Linked DNA regions of Daphnia pulex. The main gene of each other region encodes a partner of the protein of the gene in region 3 in a complex. Links are inferred from orthologs where the notes say so. Each region holds a gene or a part of one and is shown on either strand. Other genes may lie near its edges.

The links.
Region 1: spliceosome-associated protein CWC15 homolog (region 3) and beta-catenin-like protein 1 share a complex: the UniProt entries of both Homo sapiens proteins name them as parts of the PRP19-CDC5L splicing complex. The link is inferred for Daphnia pulex from reciprocal best matches to the Homo sapiens genes CWC15 and CTNNBL1.
Region 2: spliceosome-associated protein CWC15 homolog (region 3) and probable small nuclear ribonucleoprotein G share a complex: the UniProt entries of both Homo sapiens proteins name them as parts of the minor spliceosome. The link is inferred for Daphnia pulex from reciprocal best matches to the Homo sapiens genes CWC15 and SNRPG.

The regions. Positions count from the first base shown.
Region 1 is NC_060022.1:2,352,502-2,356,265, reverse strand, and holds the start of beta-catenin-like protein 1, read left to right. Parts: upstream 1-1,536; 5' UTR 1,537-1,674; coding exon 1,675-1,704; intron 1,705-1,876; coding exon 1,877-2,181; intron 2,182-2,247; coding exon 2,248-2,579; intron 2,580-2,653; coding exon 2,654-2,877; intron 2,878-2,953; coding exon 2,954-3,102; intron 3,103-3,192; coding exon 3,193-3,374; intron 3,375-3,452; coding exon 3,453-3,764. UniProt on the Homo sapiens protein: Component of the PRP19-CDC5L complex that forms an integral part of the spliceosome and is required for activating pre-mRNA splicing.
Region 2 is NC_060026.1:11,525,851-11,528,270, reverse strand, and holds probable small nuclear ribonucleoprotein G, read left to right. Parts: upstream 1-1,224; 5' UTR 1,225-1,382; coding exon 1,383-1,414; intron 1,415-1,477; coding exon 1,478-1,500; intron 1,501-1,562; coding exon 1,563-1,687; intron 1,688-1,753; coding exon 1,754-1,807; 3' UTR 1,808-1,845; downstream 1,846-2,420. Other genes in the region: sideroflexin-1-like, read left to right, coding at 1-50, 119-204, 269-396, 459-548, 617-711, 777-836. UniProt on the Homo sapiens protein: Plays a role in pre-mRNA splicing as a core component of the spliceosomal U1, U2, U4 and U5 small nuclear ribonucleoproteins (snRNPs), the building blocks of the spliceosome.
Region 3 is NC_060025.1:5,440,478-5,443,346, forward strand, and holds spliceosome-associated protein CWC15 homolog, read left to right. Parts: upstream 1-1,067; 5' UTR 1,068-1,303; coding exon 1,304-1,434; intron 1,435-1,491; coding exon 1,492-1,635; intron 1,636-1,722; coding exon 1,723-1,882; intron 1,883-1,941; coding exon 1,942-2,184; 3' UTR 2,185-2,232; downstream 2,233-2,869. Other genes in the region: unextended protein-like, read left to right, coding at 1-183, 269-541; cell cycle checkpoint protein RAD17-like, read right to left, coding at 2,498-2,652, 2,718-2,869. UniProt on the Homo sapiens protein: Involved in pre-mRNA splicing as component of the spliceosome. Component of the PRP19-CDC5L complex that forms an integral part of the spliceosome and is required for activating pre-mRNA splicing.

The DNA.
Region 1 (3,764 bases), on a different chromosome or scaffold from region 3:
TCACTTTCCAACATTACAGGACTTTTTCTACTGTAGGCTTGCACATGGGAAAGGAAAAGGCGACTGTTTAAAAGCTTTCTAGATGAATAGTCGCTGGTTATTACTCTCCACAGCTGGAAAGTGCGTCGTAAAAATGAACCCTTTTAATTGCTCATGTGATGATTTGTCGTCGGTTTCTCGAGAAATATCATTCGTAGCTTAGAATCATTACTTTTTCAAGTTTCAATTCCTTCAGGCATTTTTAATACGGTGTGATATTAAATAGCCTCCTATTATTATTCCATTTAAATATGAATTTTACCCTAAAACCACAAACGACACCGGAAAACTTATTCCTCTTGGTATAACACCATTTATAAAAACTTTCTTAAAAATTTCTCTAATTGAAAACGAGGGTTAACCGAGGGAATATTTTAAGAACGAGTGCCAGTGTGGCGACCAAGGACCCTCTTTCGTCATAAAATTTTTCTAGTTGCACTTTGCTTTAAGTGTTTGAAGTTGAAATATTTTTGAATTGGACTTTTTACCTATAGACAAAGTTGTGAGGTACAAAACAGGGCCTGAACTGCAGCCGTTCTACAAATGAGCAACCACTTTTTCAAACCCTGACCGAGTAAACAAAAACGGCAAGAGAAAACCGTTCCGGTCAACCGCATAGCTCAGGAATAATCGTACTCAAAAATTTATAATCAACGCCAAGTAACAGTCAAAAAGGAAGAATTTAGATAAATGTTTTTCTACCTTAAAGCCTTTAAGTCCACGTTCACATGGGTGTAAAGAGGACATTCCAAGAAAGGGGAAGAAATTCGGTCGACATCGGTGATAGTCTCTCCAATCAAACGGGATGCTATAAATCCTATCTAAATAAAAATCAAATATGAAATATGAGTTACGAAAAATATTTACAGAAACAATTAGTGATAAATAGAAAACAAGACAGCAGATGAATCCTATTTATTAATGGACAAGAGAATGTAAGAATTCCCTGTAACACTCTGCAAGTGATGGCTATTTAAAACATCTAACAGGTTAATAAAAGTAACGAAAATCATTACCTGAGTGATGATACTAAGATTGTTGCTGATGACACTGTGAATACTGGCACAAGCAAAACTTGCATATGTTGTGGTTTGATGGTTGGCTCTGGCCTCAAATCTGCACAAAGATGAGAATGTTACATAGTGCTCACAAACACACATGCAATAGCAACACTTATCATGTAAGCCCCTTATTACATGATACATGCTAGTCAGTCATTCTATTTGAATTTATGGGGTTTTTTTACCTGCTAAAGCAGCATGTGTATGTGCATTAAGCGATTCTATAAAGACACGCGACCGGCGACCAGAGTTGACACGGCAATCACATTTTTGTTTTTAATTTTTAGTGCTATTTTTCGTGCAGCAACGTAACGTTTCCCCCCAAAAATCTTTGTCTCTTTTTCTTTTTCGAAACTTTCAAACAAAACGAAAGCAGACAACACTAATCATAAAATCGACCCATCGAGTTTCATTACTTATGGCCAGATGGCGTTTTTATTCTGATATTCCTAACGGTAGATGACTCTATTTTCATGTTTGACACATCGTGTTTTTTAAAAAGTTGAAAGTTCCAAAAGATCTCTTCAAATTTTGTTTATGCTGGTTCATTATTTAATTTAATCGAATATCTGCAATGGATGTCGGTGAACTTTTATCTTTTAAGGTGTGTAAATCAGTTTGTATTAACACTTCTTTAGCTATAAGTCCATTAAGGGGAAACAGAAGCATTGGATGTTATGGGATTGCATGGAGCATATATTGCAATGGCATTTGTTGGATTATTTTGAAAGCTTTCATTTGTTTTATTATGATTAATCACTACTTTCTTGTTACAGCCAAAACAAAACCCCAAACGAGATGTTGCAGATGATGATAAAGAGCCAGAGTTTGAACGTCCCGGAAAGAAACTTAAACAGTTTCCAACCAGTAATGTAAAGCCAAACCCAAGATCAACAGCCACATATATTGCTCCCCCAGTTGTTGAAACTCCAGAAAAAGAAGAATTGCTCAAATTGGTAGAGCAAGATGAAGGTTCTGAAAGCCTTGATGAAGCCTCCCTAAAGAGAATGATTCTAAATTTTGAAAAGCGGGTTCTGAAAAATCAAGAACTACGTGTTAAATTTCCAGATGCGCCAGAGAAGTATGATTCCTATCCTCTGCTTGTTTTGTCATCATTCTTCATAATAGTTTTTATTTTATCTTTTAGGTTTATGGAATCAGAATTGGAATTGCATGAAGCAATTCAACTGATGCATGCACTTGCAACAGCTCCTGAACTATACACAGTAGGTGTTGAACAAAAGCTTATACCAACATTGCTAGGTCTATTGTCACATGACAATGCAGACATTTCTGTCGCTGTGGTCAATTTGCTTCAAGAATTGACTGACATTGATACTCTGAATGAAAGTCAAGATGAAGCTGCAATTCTAATTGATGCACTCCTGGACCAGCAAATCTGTGCCCTCCTAGTCCACAACCTGGAAAGACTAAACGAAGCTCAAACAGAAGAATCTGACGGAGTTCACAATACACTAGGTATAGACGATCATTTATGTTTCTATAATTCATAAGTACCCAGTTTTTGTTCACAAAATAATTTGTTCTTTCAGCCATTGTGGAAAACTTAACGGAAATTAGGCCTGAAGTGTGTCAACAAGCAGCCCAACAGGGGTTGCTGAGTTGGATAATGAAGCGGCTAAGAGCTAAATTACCATTCGACGCCAACAAACTATATTGCAGTGAAATATTGTCCATTTTGCTTCAAGGCACACCAGAAAATCGGCAACTTCTGGGTGAAATTGACGGAATTGATATTTTGCTTCAACAGTTAGCCGTAAGAAAACGTTTTTCTTCATTCATTTTTCATTTGTGTAAAAGTGCAAGTCATTTTTTTAATTATTTTCTCGCAGATTTTCAAGCGGCAAGATCCCAAAACAGGAGAAGAACAAGAAATGATGGAGAATTTGTTCGATTGTGTTTGTTCCAGTCTGATTCACGTTCCCAACCGCGACAGATTTCTGAAGGGAGAGGGCTTGCAACTTATGAACCTCATGTTGCGGTATTGTTGAAATTCCCACGATCCGGCTTGCTACCATTCATATTGTTGATCTTGAAGCCTGACCCGTTTTTTTCCCCACTTTCTTTACAGAGAGAAAAAAATGTCCAGAAATGGCGCGTTAAAGGTTTTGAATCACGCACTTAGTGGTGAGGCCGGTAAAGATAATTGCACCAAATTTGTGGACATCCTCGGCTTAAGGACTATTTTTCCGCTATTCATGAAAACGCCGCATAAACTGAAGAGAAAGGGGATGTCAGCAGAAGAGTATGAAGGTAAATATAAAATATAGTGCAAATACTGATGTGCATCACAAATTTATAAAACGTGACCCGTGTAAATCGTTTTTTTAGAACATATAGTCTCGGTGATTGCAAGTATGCTAAAGTCGTGCCGAGGATCACAGCGCACCAGACTTCTGACGAAGTTTACAGAAAACGACCACGAAAAAACCGATCGACTGATGGAGTTGCACTTCAAATACTTCGACAAATTACGCGTGATTGACGCTCAACTCCAGCGGAACGACGACGAAGAGGACGAGGACGAAATGTACCTTAAACGTCTGGAAGGTGGATTGTTCACGCTTCAGCTGGTGGACTACATTATGATGGAAGTTTGCGCCTCAGGAGCCGCAACCATCAAGCAGCGCGTTTTGCATACGC
Region 2 (2,420 bases), on a different chromosome or scaffold from region 3:
CAACAAGTGGGGCTTTAGTCACTGCTCTTGGTTTGAATAGCTTGACCAAGGTATCAAAAATATTAACTTGATATAATGGACCATAATGTAAATAACTTTATGAGAAATTAATTTTTAGTCAATGTCTCCTATTATTGGGCGTTTGGTACCCTTTGCAGCTGTTGCTGCCGCTAACTGTGTAAATATTCCTCTGATGCGAATGCAGTAAGATAAACATTTTCTCGTCGCATAAGATAACTAATGCTTTAAAATACGACTGATTTTTTAGTGAAATTCAAAAGGGAATCTCAGTTTCTGATGAGAACGGAAATGTACTCGGTGAATCTTCGATTGCTGCCAAATGGGGTATCACTCAAGTTGTCCTTAGTCGTATCGGAATGGCTTCTCCTGGAATGGGTAATTCATGTAATACGATAGTAATCTGATAAAAATAAAACATCCAGCACAATAATATGCAGTCCTACCACCTCTGCTGATGAATTATTTGGATCGAAAGGGCTTCTTGAAGCGATTCCCTTGGTCTGCGGCACCTATTCAAGTTACTTTATGTATGAAACATTAACTATTTATCATGTAGTTGTAAACGGCCAATTATGTATTATTATTTGGCTTACAGGTGGCGTATTACTTACTTTCGCTACTCCAATGTGTTGTGCCCTGTTTCCTCAAAAAGCATCGATTTCGGTTGACAGTCTGGAACCAGAGCTACAGGTAATTTTTTATAGCGTTTTAATGTGGTTCTTGTTTTAACATACATCTTTTCTTTTTTAATTCAGGCAAAGATTCGAAAATCCCCGAATCCCCCAACTGTTGTTTATTACAACAAGGGCCTGTAAATTTGAGTCAATCACTGAATTACTGTGGACGAGTGCAAATATCTCAGTACAAGTTTCTTAGATCAACTAGAAAATGAAAAAAACAACAGAAAAACACATTTAATTAAAGTAACTTCCACAGTTTATTTTTTTTTGCTCAAAGTATATTGGTGTAGTTTCCATTCCAGTTGAGGTAATTGGTAGTCATTTTGCTATAGAAATAAACTGCTAAAAAATATTTTCTTACAGAATTGTAGCTGCTAATTTATACAATTAATTGAAGATCGTAATTTTTTTCCTGTTTTAATAAGGCAAAAAAGCCACAAGCTGTATAAAAAATTCCTTAGCGCGCCAGCGCCCAGCCGCCAGGTCTCGTCGCCGGTCTCGCAAAGCCGCCAGTTTCTAAATTCAATATCTGGCAAACACGCGTTCCTAACGTTTGGCATCGCGCATCGGACATTAAAAACGATCCAAACTTTCTTGGTGTATCACGTTTTTTCCTAGTTGCTTGAAGTTAGTGATATATTCATCAACGTAGATATTAGATATTAGTTATTTCAAACCAAAATGAGCAAGGCCCATCCACCAGAGTTGAAGAAGTATGTATTGTTGCTTAAGTTATATTTACATTTTTAATAATGATCTCTACTTCTTTTGTACAGGTACATGGATAAAAGAATGTCTTGTAAGTATTATTTTTTTGTTAAATTATTATTGAAAACTGTTTTGAAGAATTGTTTTTCACAGTGAAACTGAATGGTGGTAGGAACATTGTTGGGATCTTGAGAGGTTTTGATCCATTCATGAACTTGGTCATTGATGAAACCGTTGAAGAAGTTAAAGATGGTTCGAAAAATAACATAGGGATGGTGGTATGTTTAAAATTAACATGGCATACATAAATTCAAATACCATTAACTATTTATATGTAAATTTAGGTTGTTCGTGGAAACTCAATTATAATGTTGGAAGCACTGGAAAGAATCATGTAGCCTAACTGCTGAAAAATAAATGTCATCCAAATTGTAAATTATTTAAAACATTCCACTTTATTACTCTTTTCTTAGCCATCTTAGCATTGGGTTGAGAGGAATTAAGAATGAAAAGGTTACAAATAAACTGAAAATTAAGGAGTGTTGCAAATAAAACACCATTAGAAGAAATATAATGGCTGGAAATTAATGTTAAATTAAAATTAATAGTAAAAAAATAATGAGAATTCTAAAACAATTTTTCGGTAATGAAAGATTTCATTTATTGACGCTAATTAAACAAATTAAGCTTGATCACGTCAATCACGATGAGAGATTGTGCATGTAATATTATTACCTTATTTATATTATGTGGTATATATAAATAACATAATTCAGCGCCACTGCCAGAAGGTTAGATAGTTGTTGAGCTCGGAATTGTTGAACGCCATCTATGCTCTCCAGACGATACACAAGGGTGGGGCCTATATTCTGATAGACGAAAAATTAACATGAGAGTGACTAGGTCTGGGCAGAGCAATAGATGCCTGGTCGGTTCTCGGCTGTGTTGGCTTCCCTATCCCGGTTTTAGGGTAAACGACTAAACGTATCCCCGATTTTCAGACATTTTAGG
Region 3 (2,869 bases):
CAGGCGTTTGTTGTTGATTATACTGTTCGTGCGGTCAGTGATCTAGTGTATTTTCACATGAGCCGATCCCTGTACCAAGCAGTCAGAAGTGCTACCGTCCTAGAGCGGGTACAGCGTGAAGTTGTGCCACGAATGACGGAATGCGAATCTGCTTTCATGTCTAGCAGAGAAGATTCTGATACGGTATGGGATTCCTGCAACTGAATTACTTTTATGTAGATGATAAATATTGTGACTAACCCAATTTTTTTTTTAAATTGCATTTTAGTCTGTAAATTTGACGAACGGGTTTTCACCTATTGAGTTACAACCTGACAGTTCTCGTTGTAATTCTAACTGCCTCCTGACTAGATCTGATCCGGAAAAAGAAAGCCTACTAAGTAGTTCACGAGGTAGTTCATTACCTAGTACCCCAAATGTTTGTGTGGTCGATAGTCGATACAAAAGAAATGACGTTTTCAGTAGTTGTTCACCCCAGACCATCATTAATCATCAAAATGATACTGGAAATTACTCTTTTCCACACCGTTCTGATCGATAATTCCTTGGATAATTCGATTTAGTGAAATATTTGATGAAAACTGGGAAAACAGTTGAACAAATAGTTCGTCTACAACCGCTGGCGCGCTCAAATATTAGTGAAATTGTCGGAGAACGATTAATGTGGATGCATCCTATAAATGTGGTACCACTTCTTGACATTCCCGTTGATAAAATAATAATGTAGAAAAGGGAAGGTGCAAGACGATGCGCACTACTATGGTTTGTTGTTTTATCAATCTAAATTTGTTTTAGTAGTGATTGAAAATCTAGAACTTTCATTGTCAACACATTCACACAGTCGATTTTTTTATTGGTTATTAAAAATAAACCACAAACATATGTATTCCTTTAATGTACTGTAATTGCGTAACATAAATCGTGTGTGGAAATGTAGGAAACCAGTTATGTGAGGTGAAACAAAGTAACCTATTTCGTACTTTTTTTAATTAACAAAATTTCGCGGGTTTTCTGATCAAATCGGGGGAGGAGCATAAAAATCGACACTAGCGACACCACATTGAAAACGAAGAACTATCAACCTGCTTCTTCTGCTTCTTGCATGAGTTGCATCTCGACTCGAGATTCTCGAGTAAGAATCCAACTTCTGTCGTGTGTCCTTGATTAGTTGATTTTAATTGTGTTGGGGGAAAAGCGTTTAGTAACTTTGGAGGTTTTCAAGAGTCGGATACAACAGAGCAACTCTTTCATCAAAGCCAAGTACAAGTAGCATTTTCCACAGTAATTGAAAAATCGTTAGAAAATGACAACTGCTTCGCGACCAACATTTGCCCCTGCTACTGGAGGACAAGGCAGGGGAGAAACGTCTCTCAGTTCTATGAGTAAGCAATATTCGAGTCGAGATCTTGCATCACATACTAAACTAAAATACAGGTAAAATTTAAATTTAATTCAAAAATTCTGACATTCTAATTTTATTTCTTTTGATAGGGATATTGGTCAGGGATCATCAGAGGAAATTCGCAACAAGGATCTAAAAAGAGATCTAGAAGAACGGGAAAAATCTCATAAGGAAAAAGGAGATCGCAAAGACAGAGATAGGGCTGTTAAATCAGCTTCGTCAGTATCTTCCCAGTAAGTCTGAAAAACATTTAACTTTTTTTCCCTATCTCTACAAACTATTTCAGTTATGGGATTAAAGAATGTGTTAACACTTTGCAGGAAGAAATTACGTGTTGATCCTAGTAGCTTGGATGCAGATGATCCCATTGAAGACGAAAGTGATGACAGTGTTGATGAAGAAGATGAAGATGACACTGCTGAATTAATGGCAGAGCTTCAGAGAATAAAGGGTGAACGAGCATCTGAATTGGCCAAAAAGGTATTATCATTGACTTAGATGCTCTTGTTTGTCAAATACACAAATTGCTTGTTTTTCAGGAAATGGAACAGAGACAAGAAGAGGAACGTATCAGAATGGAAAATATTTTAAGCGGAAATCCATTGTTAAATTACGCTGGGAAACCTCAGAAATCTGACTTGCGTGTCAAACGACGATGGGATGACGATGTTGTCTTCAAAAATTGTTCCCGTGCTGAGCCGGAAAGGAAAGAAATCACTTTTATTAATGATTCACTTCGGTCTGAATTTCATAAGAAATTCATGGACAAGTATATTAAATAATTTTTTATGTTCCATGCATTTGATTAAATACATTTCCTGTCTTAATTACTAAGTTTATTTGTAAAATTTTTTTTTGTGGCTGATTCGTTAATCGTCTGTAAAGGACTAAAGACACTTTAATTCAGTATACCAATTTTTCCTTTAAAAAGTTTTCTTATTCATTCATTGGCATACTTACAATATAAGAAAATATTTTTAAATTATTTATTCCTCTTTGTTCATCAAATAGAATTTTATAATTCTAAATATTAGAAATTGTTGACATTACAATAAAAAAAAACCTCGATCTCTTTATTATCGCGACGTGACGACTCTAGTCGTCATAATCTTCGATGATGATATCAGCGTCCTCGTCCCGATCCTTTTTACCATTCGAGTTTACGGAGTCCACTACATTTGCTGAAAAATCAGTGGATTGACTAACTTGAAACTGGTGGTAATTAAGCTGGCCTGATGTTGATTTTAACCCTGTATCAATTTAATTAAATGAATAATAATAAGATATTTAAAAATAAAGAGAAATGAGATCTCACCGTCTGTTATTTTAGATCCTGATCGAATAAGGTTGATAAACGGCAATGTTTCAGAAAAAAAAGAGGGTCCACATTTATTACCATAACCGTCTTGTACGTGCATGTGCAATTCTTGTTGCTGTTGAAGAACTGAATAATAATCAGGTTTTCTC